3 linked regions of the Drosophila melanogaster genome follow. The protein of the gene in region 2 interacts with the protein of the main gene of each other region in a pairwise test. Each region holds a gene or a part of one and is shown on either strand. Other genes may lie near its edges.

Region 1 (3,182 bases), on a different chromosome or scaffold from region 2:
ACCTACAGCCAGAAGGAGCTCGAGGAGAGTATAGCCGAGTCGAGCAGGATATTCGAGCTGGTCACCATCCTCCAGAGCAGTCCCGCCAGTCCCGATCTTATGGGCATTGATCGCCTGCCCAGATCCAAGGAGAACTTTAACTTCTATAAGCAGATTAAGAATACGGTATATATATATATATATATGTACATATATTTTACTATACTAAAACTATATTTTTCAGGCTGCCCTGGCTAAGCAAACATATCACGATCAGTTGAATGCCCGCTACCTAAGCATCGTGAGCTCCGCCTGGTACGCCATGGGCAACTATCTGGTGCCCGGAGGACCTCCTCGGAAGACCTTTTTCGCTTACATAGCTTCCAATCCGCTGGAGATCATGCGTAACAAGACGTGGAATGGGGATTTCCGGAACTACCGCTCCATGCGCGACAAGAGAAAGGAGCAGGAGAAGCTTTTGGGCAAAAAGGACTAGATTACAATAAATTAAAACTCTTTTTCAATCTGAAACTCAATTATATTTGGGCTTGGTGCGGGCCACTCTTTTGCCGGTGAACCCCTTGCTGGCCAAATAATCACGGATGCCGCGTTTGGTGTGCACCTTCAGTTTGCAGATGTCGAACTCCAGCTCCTTGTTGCAGTACTCGGCGCCCTCCATGCGTTGAATGAAATGGATGACGTGGAGCAGCACCTCGCCGTCCAGCTGCTGAATCTTGGCGTGCAGATCAAGGTCCTCCTCGGTTGTAAAGGGCTCCTGCTGCTCCGAAGTTTCCAAAGTTGCCGGCGGAGTCCAATCGGGGGTCGGAGTACATTCGGTGGTTGGAGTACATGAGGGGGGCGCACCCATTATGGAGGGGGACACCTCCGAGCCGTTCACCTCGTCCTCCGGCGATGATGAGTCCGATTCATCCGAGGAGCTCTCTTCCTCGGCACGCACTTTACTGCCGCTGGAGCAGATGTAGAGCTGCACCTGGGAGTACATCTCCTCAAAGATGATCTGCAGCTGTTTGGCCATGTGGTAGCACAGGTGATCGGGATTCGTGTACAGATAGGTGTTGTAGAAAATCAGCCTTATGTCTTTGGCGAAATCCGCGGCACTGAGATAGCAACCCGTATTCAAACGATGCCTCACGGTGGACAGATCCATGGGTTCCCGGACAATCTCATGGTAATCGTGGAGGCCCAGCAGTTGCGGATCCAGTGGCTCGTAGAAAACCCAAGCAATATTCTTATAGGTACTGGAAAACAACCTTTTAATAATCACCTTGCAGGCATTAATTTCCGGCGAGGACCGTTCAGTTTCTTGTTTTGCAGCCATTTCAGAAAAATATCTTCGATATCGACTATCGGAAAATTCTATTATAATTTCTATCGTTTTGACAACTTGAACGCAATACAACTGACAATATTCACACTCCGGGTTGCCCTGTACGATGATATTTTTAGCTTATGAAAACTTTTAGGATTGCCACCTCAATCCGAGCAGAAAAGTCAATCCACAAATGCGGTTTGGGGCAACAAACAAATTCAGTTAATTATGCAAGTGGCTCCGGCCAGGAAAGTATTTCCATACATTTTGTGTGGGAGTGCGGTCCTTTGTGGGAATGCTCTGCCTCAATCCTGAAGCTATGATGGTTAATCTAATTCCGAGACCCGTACAAACAGTCCTTTTTTCGGTAAACGTATTTAAAATCCCCATCGAGCTGTGGGGGCGAAAATATTTATGGTCAACCGCTGACGTTTGCTATTTTAGAGTGCCGAAATATTTCGTTAGCATAAAAGTTTTGTTAGGACACACAATATACATCATTTTTGGGCAAATATTTGCAGGGCTTTCATTTGGGCAGTCAACAAGTTGGGTTTACAAAAGTTAAATCGAAATCCTGTTTAAAGTCACTCTGTTAAGTTGGCTTCCACAGGCATGAGGGGAAATCCTGTTCCTGTGGCTCTCTCCCTCTGTTAGCTTGCGATCCACAACTGAGAGCAACCGATTTACGGAGACCTTCATTTTCTCGCTGTTAACTTACCTGCCACAAAATGTTGCAAATTGGGTGGCAATCGGACCAGGTCTTGGCCACATCTTGGGGCGCCTCTTCAGTCTGCTGTTGGGCCTTTGGGGGAATGGTCCTGCGAATGGGTCAATTGGGATTGCACTCCACTGACCCACTTGCGAATGGGGATTCACCTCTGGGCATCATCTGGTTCGGATGTTGACCTTCAACCCCAAGTTTGGAGACTTTACACATAGAGTTTGCGAAACCGAAAGAAAAAGAGATTAATCTTCAAAGTATATTTAAAATATATATAATCAAAAATACCAAATAACAATATAGATAAAGTTATACCCTATATCTGTCATATATCCACTTTTTCGCAAGATCATTCGCTTTGGAGGCATCTAGACCTAGAATAAATTGATATGAGTGATATTTTTATGCATATGTGTAGCTGAGAGCCCTTAGCACACGATTCCCTTTGATCTTGTCGATATGTCAGCGGGGCAGAACTTTACTTCGCATTTCACGGCAAACATTCCGCTCTCTATTGCCGATTTCCAGATAAAAATCTTGTTCGTTTTTCACATAAGTAAAACTGCGACACTCAATCAGTTGGCAGATGAAATTATACACCCAGAGACTGGGCCAGGTGCTAAAAGGATCGCCAGGGGGACGCAAAGGAAACGTGTGAGGCTGTCAGTGGCAAGCACATCCCTTTCCCCCAAACCCACTTGCCTCGCACCTGCGAACGAATCCCTACCTGGCCATCCCGCATCCCATTGGAACCGGGCAATATATGGATAAATATAAAAAAAAGGGCGGCAATATGAAAGCCCTGCAGAAATGGAAAGAAGGGAAGAACCAGCAGACGAGGACGCCGAGGAGATATGAGAAATGTACATTTGGACAGGCTACACACGCTGCCCTCGCACGGCACAGCGATGGAGAGGGGGCTATTCGAGCGAAAGAGACGGCGACAGCCAGTCAGATGTCAAACATTCTTTTGACACTTTGTCATAGCATCTCCCGGTGACACTTGTCAGCAGTCGGATTTCGCATTTCGGTGGAATGGCTGTGCCGCAGTTGATTTATACTGCCATGCATATGATATATATGTGTGTAAATATATACCTATAGGTATGTACGCGATTGTATCTTAATAGCATTTACTTATGCACCGCCCGA
Region 2 (4,056 bases):
CACCAAATAAAAAAAAAATATGAGAAAAAATCGCTCTGAAATTTCCGCCTCGGTCTTATCCTTTATTTTGAGCAAAGGACCTGAAAAGGAACCCAGTGCCCGTTCATGTGTGTAAATGGGAGCATGTGAGTGTTTTTCAGCCACTGTGTGAGTGTGTGGCATTATGCGCCCTGGCATTTTTATGGCACTTTAACTTTATGTTGAGTAATTCCCGGCTGAAGGGCGAGAGTCAAGTCCTCGGGAAAGTGTGGCCGAGACCATGATGACCGCTTTGCAGGGGCTATTGAATGTGAGTCCGGCTCTTGACAGCGGCCATTGAATTTATTAATTGCTTAATCATGATGATCCGGTTTGCAATTTATCACCAGGCGTGCACCTTTTCTCATTGATACCTCAATGGGTATTCACAATTATGTTCAATAAAATTCTTTCGTCAGCTAACAAATTTGTATTAAACACGAGTTTTGTGTATTCTTTAAATTCACGATGAAACCATATTTTGGCAAAACACGTTTTTCAGTCTAAAAGGAGGCCTTTTTTTTATCATAAAACTTAAAATAATTGTCCAAATATGGAATGCCATACCTCGTTGAGCTTGTATTTTATCCCCAAATCGATTGGCATTCAAACTTGGCAATTTTAATTTTTTGCCAATTTTTGCAAAATTTGATGATGGTATAAAAAATGCAAAAACTGACCCAAAAATAAAATTTTTTTTATTGACCAAAAAGTAATAGCAATTGTTGCTATTGGTAATTAGGTGCAGAAAACAGTTATTCCTGTACTTATCTGACTATTTTTAGGCGAGTTGTGAAGAAAATACCACTCTTAAATATTGCGTTTTTGCCAAAAGAGACCTTTTTGATTTTTCGCCCAAATATATTCAGTTTTTTCATCATAAATCTTAAAACAATTGTCCAAATATGGAATGCCATACCTCGTTTAGCTTGTATTTTATCCCCAAATCAATTGGCATTCCAATTTGGAAATTTTAATTTTTTGCCAATTTTTGCAAATTTTGATGATGGTACCCCTTATAAAAAATGCAAAACTGACCCAAAAATAAAATTTTTTTTATTGACCAAAAAGTAATTGCACTGGTTAACATTGGTAATTAGGTGCAGAAAACAATTATTCTTGTTGCCTTTCTGACAGTTTTAAACCAAGTTATTCATACATTTTATTCATTCCACAATTTTCAAATTCTACATTATTTTTCCCTTTATTGGACATTTATTCAATTGGGAACTCCATGTTGAACTCCCGCTTGAGGATGAACTTCAGGTCCAGCACGCTAACGTCGCTCTTTCGATACTTGGCCAACTTAACTATGCGCATGGATATGTCGTTAACAAAGGCATCGGCTATTCTGGCCATCATATCGCAACCTTGATCGTCCAGCGATGAATTTGCATCGATTTTCTGCACAAATTGCAGCATGTTGGTCTTGGAGATAATCTGATAGGGGGAAAAGTACGGATCGATTAATGCGTCCTAATTGGGGAAGTCGTTACGTACATCGTAGCTTCCGCCAGGGACAGACTGGCTCTCAATTACGCTAGCTGGCTCCTTCTCCACGGAGCTGGTGTCTATGCTGGTGTCACTGGAGCGGCTCGAGGATCTGGTCGAAGAGTGGCTCTCGTTATCCGACGATTTATCGCTGTCATCGAAATTGAGGGCAAAGGACCAAGGTTCCATGTTACTATCCATGATTCAATTAATTTAATGTCCTTTCCCGTTAATGCCACATGCACTAGGTAAGAAAGTGGCTTGAACTGGTTGGAAATTATAGGAACATAAGGTGTGAGCTAATGCATACTTTTCGGGTCCTGTGTCTTTCTTCAAAAAGCAAAAAGTTTTTTCTTGGTGTCGTGGGACATTACACTTTCTCTCAATTTTTTACCCGGCAATAGTTTGGATCGGGAAAACCCAGCTGGGCTTTGCAGCCTCAACTCTTCGCCCTTGGCCTGCCATAAATAACCAGTTTAAGTCGCAAGCTCTGCAGCTGAAAACGATTTCCATTGTTGCCGCAGCGTTTACCCTTTCCGCTGCGGCTTTTCCTTCACGGTTTTTCCGCCGTCTTCTGCTTTTGATTTATGTTCCGACTGGGCTGTGCGCTTTTCACTTCTCATGCGCCAGCGCCGTCTAAATAAATATCAAAAAGCAACAAATTGTGGCCGTGCCGTAAACGACCTTTGCCCCGGAATAAGAAGCCAGGCCAGGCGACAAGCGCGTCGTCATGGCTTAATTTTATGCCAGGTGAGTACTGGCAAGGCCAGTCAAAACAACAGCACACACGTGCCCAGGTGTCCTGCCAGCCTATTATGCCGTTTGTTCTTTTTGCAAACCCTTAATGCACAGTGGGAATTTCGCTTCAGCGAAGCACCGCGCAAATTTAAGGCCACCTTGGGAGCTTCGGGTTTCAGAATTCAGGCTGCAACTTAAGCCAACTCGGAAAACTGATTTAAACGTGCGGCTATAATTTATATGCCTAGTGAGGGGCTTAAACGTAAATAATCTTAATTTAAACACCATTGAAAAAGGAAGCTCTTCTTAATATTCACATCTACTTCTAATGGAAAAAACATGATCTTGTATATTGTAATTAATAATAACTAATATTCAAATTTAAGATGCTTAAACCGGTGCCACAGTGCCCGTTTTTGTCATTCTAAAATGGTGTGCCATGTGCCTTTGCTGCGCTCCTGCCACTTTGGAGGTGCTCCTCAGTGTCCTCGGCTTAATAAAGTCGCCTACTTAAAGCGAGCGACAATGACATTGTGCGTATGTTGCCAGTCGTCGTCGGTGGAAAGGGATTGGTATGATGGGGTGGCCAGGTCGCCCCTTCGGCCATGTGTCACACATCCGCATCCGGTGTTTGGCATTGGCATTAGGCTTCCTCTTTCTACCTCCCACCGCCGACTGTCGTTTGTCGTTTCCGGCATGCGACTCTTTTATATTGCCGCTTCTATTTGCTGTGTGCACTTTTCTGCCCCTGTCCGCTCATTTCTGCCTTCTCTGGCTGATTTCTGTTTCATATTTTGCTCGCTGGCCTTATGCATAGTGTAAGGCAGCAAAAAACGGCCGACGTTTAGCTTTAAGTGTGCTGAGTGCCATAAATTTCACTTTGTCAGGGTCTTTAATCGCCCAAGCCCCAATCAGGCAGTCATTGTGGGGACTTGAAGAGGACTTGGCTGGTTCGGAAAGGTTAATTGTCATCTAAGTCTTATGGCGAATATATATATTTTACACATTTTCTTTATTCTAAATTTAATCAACATGCTTGTTCCCTTCCTTTAATAAAACCACGACTCAAAAAGAAGTTGTTTCAGCCTTCATGTTGCGTTCTAATGGCACATATCATATCCGTAACGAGAATGCCAGTCAGTGCCTGTATATGAAGTGCTAATTTGCTGTCGTGCTCACATAAAAAATGACAGCCTTAGTTGCCAAAATGTTTGAATTAATCACACATTTGTCAAAATTATTCAAATGTCTTTGCGGCGCGAGAGAAAGTGAATGAGTGTGTGTGTGGGCATGAATAGTTAATACGCATGTGGGGGCTACGCCCGGTTCCGCCCCCTCAGTTTTAGCCGCAGAATGGTGTCTGTGTAATAAGGCTAATGAGTTTCTGCCATGTCTGGCAGAGTGTCGAGACTGAGGGGCTAATTCTCAGCCAGTCAGCATGTTCTATGCACTCGCAGTTACTGGCTGGCTGCCATTTGGAATGGTTTTATTTCACATGATTATGACATTCTGTTGTTCAGGATTTCCCACACACAAATGAAACAGCCACGCATTCTTAGGCCCCGTTTTATTAACGGAGGATGTACTTTTTCGCCTCCGCAGTGGCTGTGCCAGATATTGCGTATACGCCACAGTGGCAGATGCGAAATTAATTTAAATCGGGCCCTCAGCGCACAGACTATTAAACAGAACTCGATCTGCAACAGATTTGCGTTAATGTTTCATAAATGCAAAAAGCAACACATTTAAATTCCTTCTCCATTTAAGTTTTTAATTACACTTAGCCGGCGAAGCGCACGGCAGCAACAG
Region 3 (4,452 bases), on a different chromosome or scaffold from region 2:
TGTTATAGGGCTGCCAGATTGCAAGACGACTGGTCACCTTAGCTCTGCGTAGTTGCAATGTCAACCGAGAGGTGGCACCTTGGTGCTTGACTGTTTTATTTTGAATTTAAAAACAATAGAAAATGGTATAGTCGAGTTCCCCGACTATCAGATACCCGTTACTCAGCTAGTGGGAATGCCAAAGGGAACATTTCATCATTTTTCTGGGATATCGATAGATACTGGGGAATAAAATAGTCGTGACCGTTTTGGGCGTATTGTAGCAAAAGGAGGCGCGTGGCTAGTGTTTTTTTTTGCACGAAGAAAAATCTAAGCATTTTTCAAAAGTGTGGGCGTGGCAAAATGAGATCAATACAGACGGACATGGCCAGATCGACTCGGCTATTGATCCTGATCAAAAATGTATAGACAAATGTATATGATCGCAATCGCTTCCTTCTGCCTGTTCCATACTTTTCAACGCATCTAGTAATACAGGTATAATTAAACTATGAGAATGTCGGTAGCTCGTAATTAGAATCATATTTTAGGCTAATAACAATTCTTTATGAATAATAATTATAATAATTTGCATTTTCATTTTTTTTCATTTCCGTGGTAGAATTCTACACACTTTAATCGCTATCATAAGTTTGGTCATCCAGCGGCTCCGTACCAGGTGAAAATTCTTGTACATCCTGGGGCTCCATTTTGTACACTCGCTGTTCTTGCACAAACAGGGACTCCGTTTTAATAATAAATGGCTTTGGAACCCATCCTTTGAAATTCTTATTAGCGTTTTCTTGTTTAATGAGCAGGTTTTGTGAGTCACGAAAATCTTGTTCCCTGCTGGCCACCAGTTGACGCCCCTTTTCCTTGGCCGTGGCAATTAACTCCCTGTACTTGGGCAGCCTTTTCTCAAAGATCTCATTGGTTTTCTTCACCGAAACCTTGACCAATCCATCTTCCGGAAAGCAACGCAATGCGTTCTGGAACATCTTTCGTACAGAGCTCACGAATCCATCAAAGCTCTCAAAGTTATCGGAGTCCAAGCGCTCCTGTAGTATCTTCCAATCGAGTTTCTCTTCGCGATCGTGGTCGTAGTCCGGATTCTGGGAGTACCTTCGCCAGTAGTCAGCCTGATTAAATGCCCATGTAACCTGCTTGCGCTTTCGCTTTACCATCGACTTCAGAAGATGATCTGAGTGGCTTTTTTCAATCATTCGGTCGAGAGACTTGTAGCAGATGATAATGGGTGGATTGGGAGCCGGAGGAGGCGATGAAGCTGGAGATTCAACTGGTGCTGGGGTTGGCCAAGGCAAAGTCATGGGTTCCATTGGAGGGGACGGTAAGGGTGCTGCCAAGGAATCCAAGGGACGATAGGAAATTGGCTCTGAGGGCGGTGGATCCATTGCTTCATTTGTCTCCCAATTATTCTTGAATATCGGATTCATCATTGATGACATTGGATGCATAGATTGCATGGGATTCACCAAGGAATCGGGCATAAAAGATGGGATCAAGCTGGGACCCACGAAATTTCGGAATGAAGGATTAAATGACGACACCCCGCCAGGCATCGGTGGGGGACAGAGCCATGAGGAACTACTCGAGAGCCACTGTCTAGAATAATTGTTAGATGCTCGAGGTGCTGAGAACGAAGTCGAGGCTTGATCCAATGATTCAGTAGCCTTTCTCTTGCGCTTTTCCGACTTCGGCTTTAGTTCCACCTCCGTGCTCAAATCAATGGACTCCATTCGCATGTAAAAGGCCTCCATTAGAAGCTTCCCTGCCTGATAAACCGGTGAGCCCTCCAAATTGTACAACAAGCAGTTATCGAATATCAGCTTGAAATCCTCCAGAGCCTCGCTCGCCTGCCAGTAGTATTTGTTGTGCAGTCGCTTCCTAATTGTACTCAAGTCCATCGGATGCTTGACCACCGCATGGTAGTCGGGCACACCCAGGCTCACAGAATCGACGGGATGGCGAAAGTGATACGAGAAGCGATTGCGCCATAAGCAATTCAGCACGGACTTGAGCTCTTCTAGGATGTTTGTCCTTCGCCCAGGACGATTCGGTGGCGGAATCACCGGCGGTTGCACGATGCCATTCACCGGCTGCAGATACGGCTCATTGCGCGGCGGAGGCTGGTTGCTATTCGACTGCAGTTCATTCATTGCTGGTTTGTAAGGTCACCCAACTCCTAATATTAGCCTAAAGCAGTTTTTTTTTTTTTTGGTATTTAGGAAGAATGTGAACTATTTCAAATGCTTACTTTTTGAACAACTCAAAATTCACAGCTCCTTTCGGCTCGGAATACAGAACTTTACTGAACTTCTTTTCGTCAAACACTAATAATTACCTCTTGACACTAGAGTCTATGGTGATGTGATTTACATTTATTGTATGTAAGTCTCCGTTGGGAGTAGTAGAAAATAAAAAATGACCAGACGGATTTTGTCACTGACTTTTTTGTGCTACGTTGGGTCTGTCAAAATTTGTGACATTCACAGTGAGCTTACATTCGATAGCTAGCAATCGTCTAGTATGAGTGATAATACTCCTTTCTAAGGTGCAACTTCAGGGACCTTGGTAGTTGTTGCCACCGCAGATATGCCAAAAAAAAGTTTCCCATGGTTGCTCGGCTGGATCATCACAGCTCTAGTGGGAATCAAACGAAGTGGTTTTGTGGTGGCACCTTGATAAGTTATCAGGTGGTTTTAACGGCTACTCACTGCTTCTACTCAGATGTGTAAGTACAACCAAAGACACTAGAATAATTCTATTCTATTATTCTAGTGTCTTTGGTACAACTTACCAACTTACAAGTTACGGTTGGATGCAAACGAGGATGTGCCGGAAGGCTATAAGGCGGAGTCCCAGTTGTGTGTTGGATCTCCGGACCATAAGGACACATGCAATGGTGACTCGGGAGGTCCTCTGCTGGTTCGTCACATCGGGATCGGATGCTAGTATCAAGTCATGGGAATAACTTCAGTGGGAATCGCGTGTGGAACTCCGAACATTCCCAGTTTGTATACAAGGGTGTATTTCTTTAGAGATTGGGTCAAGCGGGCCATGAATCAAAGAGTTATCTTGTTTTTTAAATTTTTATTTGCTCCGTGTGTTTCCGCTAAGTGTGATTTCATTTTTGTTTTACAATTATAATTTTACAATAGTTTCAACTAAATAAATAATAACAATTTATAAATATAATTTTTTTCCACCCTTCCTAATTTTCTCATGATTTTTACCTTTTTGTGTTTGACATAAATAATTTGTTCTTCTAGAGTTTAAAAAACAATTTGTGCAATCACAATAAATGAAAATCAGTAGCTGTTTTTGATTTGATATCATTTGCTTGACAAGGCAAATGTAATTGTTGTGGATGTTCTTTAAACTTAGTGGCTAAGTATCAGCTTAGGTTACCTATTTATACAAATAATCGGTAGGTCTATAAATTGCAACGAAAACAAAACCTATAAAAACCAAGGATCTATATGCAATAAATAAATACTTAATACGAAACATCTTGGTAGCTTTTGGTGCTTACTATATACAAAACAACGCAAATTTGCGCCGAGGCGCTGTCTATGAAGCCAAAAACCTATCGCTAATTGTTAGAACTGCTCTTTGTAACTTGATTTTCATTAACATCATCTTGCTGTTTTATTGTCTATTTCGAAAGTGTGGCGCGCGCCGCCCAGCGACGCAACTAAGCGGGGAGTCTGTCAAAGAATACAAAACAACAAACTCCAAAGCTGAGGCCTGACACCTAACACTAAACTCTATACTCGTATCGTCACATATGTATGGATAACTCTATATATATGGCCTGGCGGTATGTATCCTCCTGCTGCCCACTACTTATGCCCGATAACGAGGGTGTAGCTGGCTGTGCTCACTGTCGACGATAACGTCGACAGCGCTGGTCATTTGGCCAGCTTCAGGATCTCGGAACGGGCCGATGTTGTCGCTGTCCCGGTTCCAGTTGAAGCTGCTGCAGCTCCAGCTGCTGCTATCGTCCCAATGTTGCCTGTGCCCGTTGTGGCCACCGGTGGAGCCGGAGCAATGCGTATGGGCTTGGCTCGCTGCTGATTGAAGAGGCCACTCAATGTGGCCGCCGTACTGGTGGTCAGCACCATGCTGGCCCCACTTGTGTTGGCCTGGCGCTTGCTCCGCGCGAGTCCATTTATTTTGTTGTTCGTTGAAGAGGGCGATTGCTGCTGCTGTTGCTGCTGCTGCTGCTGCTGATACTGCTGTTGTCCGCCAATTACAGCTGGTCCTGCTGATGCGGGAACAGCAGAGATGGTTGCGGATGACGAGGATGTGGCTGCGGGTGTCGAGGAGGCTGAAATGTTATCCAACTCAGTCATTGCTTCTTGTATGGCCCGCTCGAGCTGCGAGTTCAGTTTGCGGCTCCTTTGTGGTCGCATGGTGAGTGTGTATATGTGGTTGAGTTTTTGGTTGGTT

The links.
Region 1: the proteins of Taf12L (region 2) and tbrd-3 interact in a two-hybrid assay, tested with the Drosophila melanogaster proteins (one study listed by BioGRID).
Region 3: the proteins of Taf12L (region 2) and tbrd-1 interact in a two-hybrid assay, tested with the Drosophila melanogaster proteins (one study listed by BioGRID).

Annotation. Positions count from the first base shown.
Region 1 is NT_033778.4:23,326,239-23,329,420, forward strand, and holds tbrd-3 (testis-specifically expressed bromodomain containing protein-3), read right to left. Parts: upstream 1,344-3,182; 5' UTR 1,319-1,343; coding exon 512-1,318; 3' UTR 501-511; downstream 1-500. Other genes in the region: CG9861 (uncharacterized protein), read left to right, coding at 1-165, 224-475.
Region 2 is NT_033779.5:4,699,759-4,703,814, forward strand, and holds Taf12L (TBP-associated factor 30kD subunit alpha-2), read right to left. Parts: upstream 1,728-4,056; 5' UTR 1,711-1,727; coding exon 1,519-1,710; intron 1,459-1,518; coding exon 1,234-1,458; 3' UTR 1,077-1,233; downstream 1-1,076.
Region 3 is NT_033777.3:23,891,097-23,895,548, forward strand, and holds tbrd-1 (testis-specifically expressed bromodomain containing protein-1), read right to left. Parts: upstream 2,465-4,452; 5' UTR 2,255-2,464; intron 2,194-2,254; 5' UTR 2,157-2,193; coding exon 615-2,156; 3' UTR 501-614; downstream 1-500. Other genes in the region: sba (six-banded), read right to left, coding at 3,912-4,401.